2 linked regions of the Oryctolagus cuniculus genome follow. The protein of the gene in region 1 purifies or fractionates together with the protein of each later gene. This does not show direct contact. Links are inferred from orthologs where the notes say so. Each region holds a gene or a part of one and is shown on either strand. Other genes may lie near its edges. The genes, in order: UBE2O and NAP1L4.

Region 1 (3,802 bases):
TGGAACCACGCACCCCTGAGAGGGTGCACTTCGGAGTCCTGCAACTCCTGCCCAACTTCCGGGCGCTCGGCGCACACCTGCCCCTTTCTAGGAAACCACTCTGCTGAGGAGCCTGGGCCGCTCCACGCTCCCTGCCGAGAAAGCTCCGTCCTGAGCACCCTGGGCAGAGCACACGTACCGAGTCGCTGACGTGCGGGCACACATCGTAGAGCTTGGCACCATCTTCCGTGTTCATGGAGCACCTGAAACAGTGGAGAGAGGCGTGGTCTCCACCAGGGGGCACACGGCCAAGTGCCAGAGTGGCGACGGGGCGGCTCTGGGGCCCGGTGGCTTGCACTGCCGGTGAAGCTGGTTCCCATGATGGGCATGGGTTCAAGTCCCGGCTGCCCCACTTCTGATCCAGCTCCCTGCTAACGGAAGGAGCAGGAGACGGCCCAAGTGCCTGGGCCCTGCCACTCATGGGGGACACCTGGATGCAGCTGCAGGCTCCTGGCTTCAGCCTGACCCAGCCCTGGGCCGCTGCAGCCCTCTGGGGAGTGAGCCAGCAGATGGAGGACCTCTCTCCTGTCTGTACTCCTTCCAATCAATGAATCTTCAAAGAGTGGTGATCCGGAGGGGCCAGAACTCCCACGGGTACACGACTCATCTTCTGCCAGCGGCGCAGCCTCTGAGCTGGTGCAAAACCCTACGCCTCACCGGGTGCCTCAGACTGGGGCAAGGGCAGGCGTCTGGTGCCGCGGACACTGCCATCCGTGCCGCAATACCCGGGTTCAAGTTCCACTCTGCTTCTGTTGCAGCTTCCTGCTCATGCACCCGGGAGACAGCAGTCCTGGCTCAAGTAACTGGGTCCCTGCCACCCACATGGGAGACCTGGACTGATCTCCAGCAGCTCCCGGGAGAGATCTAAAGGATGATGCTTCTCAAGCTAAGGGACCAGAACCGGGCCACAGCAGATGAGGAGAGCGCACGGGGTTTGGCTCTGGGATGCAAGAGCCCAAATGCCCGCAGCACCTTGACGAGGTCTTGCCCCACAACAGGGACACCCCGCCTGCCCTCCTCCTCACTTGTCACTCCCCTTGACGAGGTCTGGCCCCACAGGCCCCACAGGGACACCCCGCCTGCCCTCCTCCTCACCTGTCACTCCCCTTGACGAGGTCTGGCCCCACAGGGACACCCCGCCTCCCCTCCTCCCGGCAGGCGGAGAGACACCCACCTGGCGCCATTGGAGAGCTTCAGGATGATCTGGTTCTTCAGGTCATAGACCTTCCCCAGCCAGCAGTCGTAGGCAATGTAGTCCCCGTACATGAAGGGCTGCAGGTCAAGGGAACAGGGGCAGGGCAGGAGCAGGTGACACTGATGCCCAGGGCACCCACTGGGCCAGGGGAGGAGGGAGGTGGACATCTGTCCTAACACCTGCTGCCAGGCCTCCCCGAGAGCTCTGGGCCACGTCCCGGTTCCCCTTCCCAGCGAAGGCCGAGACGTGGTGGGGACGGGAGAACGACGCAGAGGCCTGTGCACCCCTGGCCCAGGACGCCTGGTGAGAGGGCAGCCGTGTGGCAGGGAGGCTGCGGAGCACCCTGAGTCACTGGGCAGGTGTCATGAGGTCAGCAAGAGCCCAGCTTCTCGGTGCTGAAGGTGCTCACCGACTCGGGGAGAGAGGGAGGCAGCGTGCAGGGGGGGAACTGGAATCAGGGGTGTCAGAGTGCACCCCGCTGCGTCAGCAGACGCGGGCTAGGACCCCTGGAGCTGTTCTAGGAGGCCTGGCCGCAGTCAGCACACCCTGCACCCACATCTCGGTCTCTAAGATAACGTTCTCCTCGCAAAGAAGAAACAGCCGATCCCAGCGCTGGATCAGAAGAAAATGCAACATGAGCTCGGAGAGCTCGTGGTGTAAGAAAAAAAGAAAGAACTTTAAACACAGAAGGAAAGCAGATAACGAAGCGTGACAGACGGAAAAGCCAGCGGGAGGAGCTGCGCTGGCCAGGTCTGGATCATTAAGGCAGCAGATGACGGCAGGCACGGGTTACAGCCCGTGAGGATCCAGGGACCTCGGGCTCCACACGGACATGAAAAGGGAGCAACCAAGCAGGCACCAGAGACGGCCGGTTCTGCCGGGGCTGGGGTGTGGGTGAGGGGTGATGACACATCCTGGAATTTGTCCCCACACACTTAACCACTTACAGATAGGTAATGGAGACTTTATGAGGGAGGCTACGGCACCACCAGGGGTCAGAGCAGATGTTCGCTCCCAGTGGTGCGGCCAGGGACTCACGGGCAGAGCGCGCCTGGCATGCACCGGGCGAGGCCGGCTGCGCCACCAGCTATCGCTGCCAGGAGATCCGCGACAGGGGAAGACCAGGGAGCCCCTCCAGGCCCGAGAGCTCCAGGAGCCGACAACCGAATGCAGAATGATTCTGAATGGGGCCCGGATCAGAAGGGGAAGCAGGCGTTGCTGGGCAGAGCGGGCTGCGGGACGGGCGGTGATGTCAGCGCCACCAGGAGGCTGCCAGGAGCGCGCCCTGTGTCTGCAGAATGCACGCTGTGCAGTTCTGGGGCGACAGGGCACTGGCTGCAGTCTGCTCAGATGTCTCAGGGGAAAGCAGAGGACAGGAAGGTTGGGGGAGGAGAGAGATGAGCACAGCTGTGAGGCCCCTGTGTGAGGCGGGGCCAGGAGCTTACAACGTGTGGGAAACCTCAAATAGTTTAAAAATAAATCCTGGAAAACAAAGATGGGGGGGCTGGCGCTGTGGCACAGCGGGTAAAGTCGCCACCCGCAGTGCCAGCATCCTACATGGGCGCCAGTTTGACTCCTGGCTGCTCTACGTCCCATCCAGCTCTCTGCTGTGGCCTGGGAAGGCAGTGGAAGATGCCCAAGTGCTTGGGCCCCTGCACCCATGTGGGAGACCTGGAGGAAACTCCTGGCTCCTGGCTTTGGATCGGTGCAGCTATGGCTGTTGTGGCCATCTGGGGAGTGAACCAGTGCATAGAAGACCTCTCTCTGCCTCTGCCACTCTGTAACTCTGCCTGTCAACTAACTAACTAACTAACTAACTAACTCTTTAAAAAAAAAAAAGATGGGGACAGGTTAATCCTCTGCTTGCAGGGCCAGCATCCCACATGGGCACCGGTTCGAGTCCCGGCTGCTCCACTTCTGATCCAGCTCTCTGCTATGGCCTGGGAAAGCAGCGGAGGATGGCCCAAGTGCTTGGGCCCCTGCACCCACATGGGATACTCGAAGAAGCTCCTGGCTCCTGGCTTCAGATCAGGCCAGCTCCAGCTGTTGCGGCCATTTTGGGAGTGAACCAGTGGATGGAAGAGCTCTCTGTCTCCCTCGCGCTCTCTTTGTAACTCTGCCTTTCAAATAAATAAATATTTTTTAAAAATGTATTTTAAGTGTTAAAGCAAAACAGGCCTGCCACCTGACCTGGGGAGGCAGTGCCTGGCGAGGGCGGGGGGAGGGGCAGCACAGAGTGGCTGCGCTGACAGCCAGAGGCCGCCGGGGGCCGGGGGGGGGGCAGCTCACCCAGATGTGCTGCAGGTCCTTGCTGTTGACTGGGTAGATGATGCAGTTGGTGCCGATGAGCTTGACGGCGCAGTCAATGTTGACGTCTATCACGGTGCCACACTGACTGTCCTGGGGGAGGGAGGAGGCGTCCAAGCCAAGGCCACCATGGGACACCCACCCAGACAACCCCAAGCTCTCCTGCACGTGCAGCGTGGGGTGGGCAGACTCACGGTGGATCGCATGTGCCTGACCACGTCCCTGGGCACGACGGAGCGGTCCTCCAGTTTCAGCTGCGAC
Region 2 (3,802 bases), on another chromosome or scaffold:
TGCTCTGGCTTTGCAGCCACTTGAGGAGGAACCGGCAGATGGAGATCTCGTGTTCTCTGTCTTCTAACGCTTCTGACACTTTGTCTTTCAAACAAACAAAAACCACACCAAAGCCCATGTGTACCTGCTGGTGAAGCCAGTAAACCGCCAATATGCTCAATGCCAACTCCAAAAGATCTCCCCAAACTTATGGCTATTCTTGGCCCCAAACCAGTATTTGTGCATCTTCTAGGCTCAAAATCAAATCACAGAGAACCACCAGTACTAAAGTTTGAGCAGCAGCTAGACGAACAGGGCGAAGATGACCCAGCAGGCCTGGGAGGCGTGCCCCCTGCTGACCCCACACAACCTCTCTGGGCACGGATCGTGTGCACCAGGGCTGGTCTACATCAGACTGTTTTGTTCATGGAGAATAACGTTTTTCTTCATAGCAACACTGCTACGTGGCCTGCTATACGTATTTATCATGATCAGAGAGTTACATTAAGAATGTCAAGAAATTTACTCTTGGTCGGCGCCATGGCTCAATAGGCTAATCCTCCACCTGCAGCGCCGGCACACCAGATTCTAGTCCTAGTCAGGGCGCCGGATTCTGTCCTGGTTGCTCCTCTTCCAGGCCAGCTCTCTGCTGTGGCCCAGGAGTGCAGTAGAGGATGGCCCAAGTGCTTGGACCCTGCACCCCATGGGAGACCAGGATAAACACCTGGTTCCTGCCTTCGGATCAGCGCGGTGCGCCAGCCGCAGTGCACTGGCCGCAGCAGCCATTGGAGGGTGAACCAACGGCAGAGGAAGACCTTTTTCTCTGTCTCTCTCTCTCACTGTCCACTCTGTCAAAAAATAAAAAAATTAAAAAAAAAAAAAAAAAAAAAGTTGGGACTGGCACTGTGGTACACGCTGCCCATGGTGCCAGCATCCCATATTGGTGCAGGTTTGCATCCTGGCTGCCCCTCTTCCGATCCAGCTCTCTGCTGTGGCCTGGGAAAGCAGTGGAGGATGGCCCAAGTGGTTGGGCTCCTGTACCCATGCGGGAGTCCGAGAAGAAGCTCCTGGCTTCGCCCTGGCCCAGCCCTCGATGTGTTAGCCACCTGGGAAGTGAACCAGTGGACTTTCTAATAAATAAATGAATTTTAAAAATAAGTAAATAACTCAGCTGCCCCACCTTTACTAGTTCAAAGGCCCCATCTTTAAATCCGACTTCCCACACACCTTCATCTGTAAACTGCAAAATCCTGCACTCCACCCCTGCACACAGAAGCAGAACAGAACTGACCTCAGGAGCAAAGAGGGTTTGGACAGACGGCTGACAGGCTGTGTAGCAGTGACCGCGAGGACGCTGGGGGGCCTGGCACAGGCACAAGGACAGGGGGAGAGTCCTGGGGCGCGGGTACTCTGTGTCCAGGTGAGTCAAGATCTCCCTTCCCAGTGGGGCTGACAACGCCACTCCTACTTTCTAGAAAACCCTGCCCCACACCACGCGGCGGCCAGCACCCTGAGGACAGGATACGGCTGAGGTGGGTCTGGAACATTCCAGGGTGCGCACAGCGCACGTCAGCAACGCACCTTTCAGGGGGCTGAAGAAGTTGAAGAACGACTCGCTGGGCACCTGCTTGGTGATCGTCCTGACCGTGCCCCGGCCTCTGTGCTTCTGCTTCTTCCTGACGGTCTTGACCGTCACGTTCTTTCCTTTCTTCCAATCGATGGTGCACCTGCGACAGAGGGCAGCTGTCAGGGACACACTCCCTGAGAGACGTCCCAAAGGCAGACGGAGAAATCTCAGCTCTCCATGGAAACCGGCATCGGGTGAGACCCGTCCACGCGTCTTGAGGCTGGGTCTGCAGCAACAGCCTGGGCCCCTTCCCGGGGCGTGCGCGCTGCCTGGAGCGCACCCTGAAACGGTGGGCGCTGCCTCCCCAGGACGCCTCGCTAAGGGCCCCAAGGCTGCTCGCCACCTGCCGGGTGATCACAGCAGGCCCGCGGTTACCGCCACCGCATCCAAATCCTCCAGGCAACCGCATGAGCGGGACGAGCTGCAGCAGTCGAGGCGGCCCCGGCGAACACGGACGCCCACGGACGCCCGCGTGGACGCCTGGGGACAGAGGTAGCTCTGGCAGCACCCACACAACTGCTCACGGCGGTGGTCTTCCCAGACCACTCCGGCCACTCCAGTCCAGGTCTGCAATGACTTCCATTTAAAGACAGAACCATTTCCCAAACAACTGAGGGAAATTAACTCCAGACAAATGCTGCCCCTGGGGTCCACGCAGACCATCGCTGACCTACGGTGAGCGATGGCTGTGCTGCACCGTGCACTCCCGAAGCAATCACTGGACCAACACGGCCTGCACTGACCCCTCGTGTGCTGGGAGCAACTTTGAAGTTCCACTGCACAGCTTCAGGCACCGGCGCCCAGACGGCCTCTCTCTCTGGTGAGGGGCCTGCACACGGGCAGCCAGCCTCGGCTGCTTAATTTAAGTCCTTGTCTACTAGGCTTTTAAGCAGAGTCAAGACTTTTAATAACTGCCAATTTCTACCTCACCTGTGAAGTTCTAAAATCATCCCTTGCTTTTGTTTCAGAAAAAGAAATGAAGAAGGGGCTGGAGTTGCAGCGTAATGGGTTGAGCCAGCATCCCATATGGGCACAGGTTCGAGTCCCGGCTGCTCCACTTCCGATCCAGCGCCCTGCTAACGCACCTGGGAAAGCAGTGGAAGATGGACCAAGTCCCTGGGCCCCTGCACCCACATGGGAGACCCAGAGGCGGCTCCTGGCTCTGTCCTGGCCATTGTGGCCACTTAGGGAGTGAACCAGCAATGGAAGCTCTTTCTCCCTCTCTTTGTAATGTTGCCTTTCGCATAAAGAAATCTTAGGACAAAAGAGAAATGAAGACGACATTTCTTACCCGTCACAGTCAACGATTTCAGGGCCTTCGAAGGAAAAGGGATCAGCCTTGTCTGGCTCCGACTTCATCTTGTACGTTTTGGTCAGGACTGAGTTGGTGAAGTAGTCGTTGGGTTCAAAGTGGAACTCTAACACAAAAGACTACAGAGCAGAAACAGGGGGGCACCGCTTAGAATCAGAGAAGCACCCCCAGTGGGCGGGGCCCGCACAGCGCTGCAGAGAGAGGCGCTCAGGCCGTGGGCCCCACCCTCAGTGGATGGGAGGCCTGCACAGCGCTGCAGAGAGAGCAGCACAGGCCGTGGGCCCCACCCTCAGTGGACGGGAGGCCTGCACAGCGCTGCAGAGAGGCACCCAGGCCGTGGGCCCCACCCTCAGTGGACGGGGGCCTGCACAGCCCTACAGAGAGAGCAGCACAGGCCGTGGGCCCCACCCTCAGTGGACGGGAGGCCTGCACAGCGCTGCAGAGAGAGCAGCACAGGCCGTGGGCCCCACCCTCAGTGGACGGGAGGCCTGCACAGCGCTGCAGAGAGAGCAGCACAGGCCGTGGGCCCCACCCTCAGTGGACGGGGGGGCCTGCACAGCCCTACAGAGAGAGGCGCTCAGGCCGTGGGCCCCACCCTCAGTGGACGGGGGCCTGCACAGCGCTGCAGAGAGAGCAGCACAGGCCGTGGGCCCCTCCCTCAGTGGACGGGAGGCCTGCACAGCCCTACAGAGAGAGCAGCACAGGCAGTGGGCCCCACCCTCAGTGGACGGGAGGCCTGCACAGCCCTACAGAGAGAGCAGCACAGGCAGTGGGCCCCTCCGTGCTGGCAGAACCCGAGTCTACATTCTGGGCTGTGAGGGAGAAGAGGACAAACCTTGGGTCCAGGACAACAGCACCCTGCACTCGGGGCTGGCGCAGTGGCA

The links.
Region 2: the proteins of UBE2O (region 1) and NAP1L4 purify together in Homo sapiens (affinity purification with mass spectrometry; 3 studies listed by BioGRID, with this or other methods). This does not show direct contact. The link is inferred for Oryctolagus cuniculus from reciprocal best matches to the Homo sapiens genes UBE2O and NAP1L4.

The regions. Positions count from the first base shown.
Region 1 is NC_091448.1:4,358,603-4,362,404, reverse strand, and holds part of UBE2O ((E3-independent) E2 ubiquitin-conjugating enzyme), read right to left. Parts: intron 3,796-3,802; coding exon 3,736-3,795; intron 3,635-3,735; coding exon 3,524-3,634; intron 1,312-3,523; coding exon 1,214-1,311; intron 243-1,213; coding exon 179-242; intron 1-178. UniProt on the Homo sapiens protein: E2/E3 hybrid ubiquitin-protein ligase that displays both E2 and E3 ligase activities and mediates monoubiquitination of target proteins. Negatively regulates TRAF6-mediated NF-kappa-B activation independently of its E2 activity.
Region 2 is NC_091432.1:788,769-792,570, reverse strand, and holds part of NAP1L4 (nucleosome assembly protein 1-like 4), read right to left. Parts: intron 3,038-3,802; coding exon 2,898-3,037; intron 1,707-2,897; coding exon 1,561-1,706; intron 1-1,560. UniProt on the Homo sapiens protein: Acts as a histone chaperone in nucleosome assembly.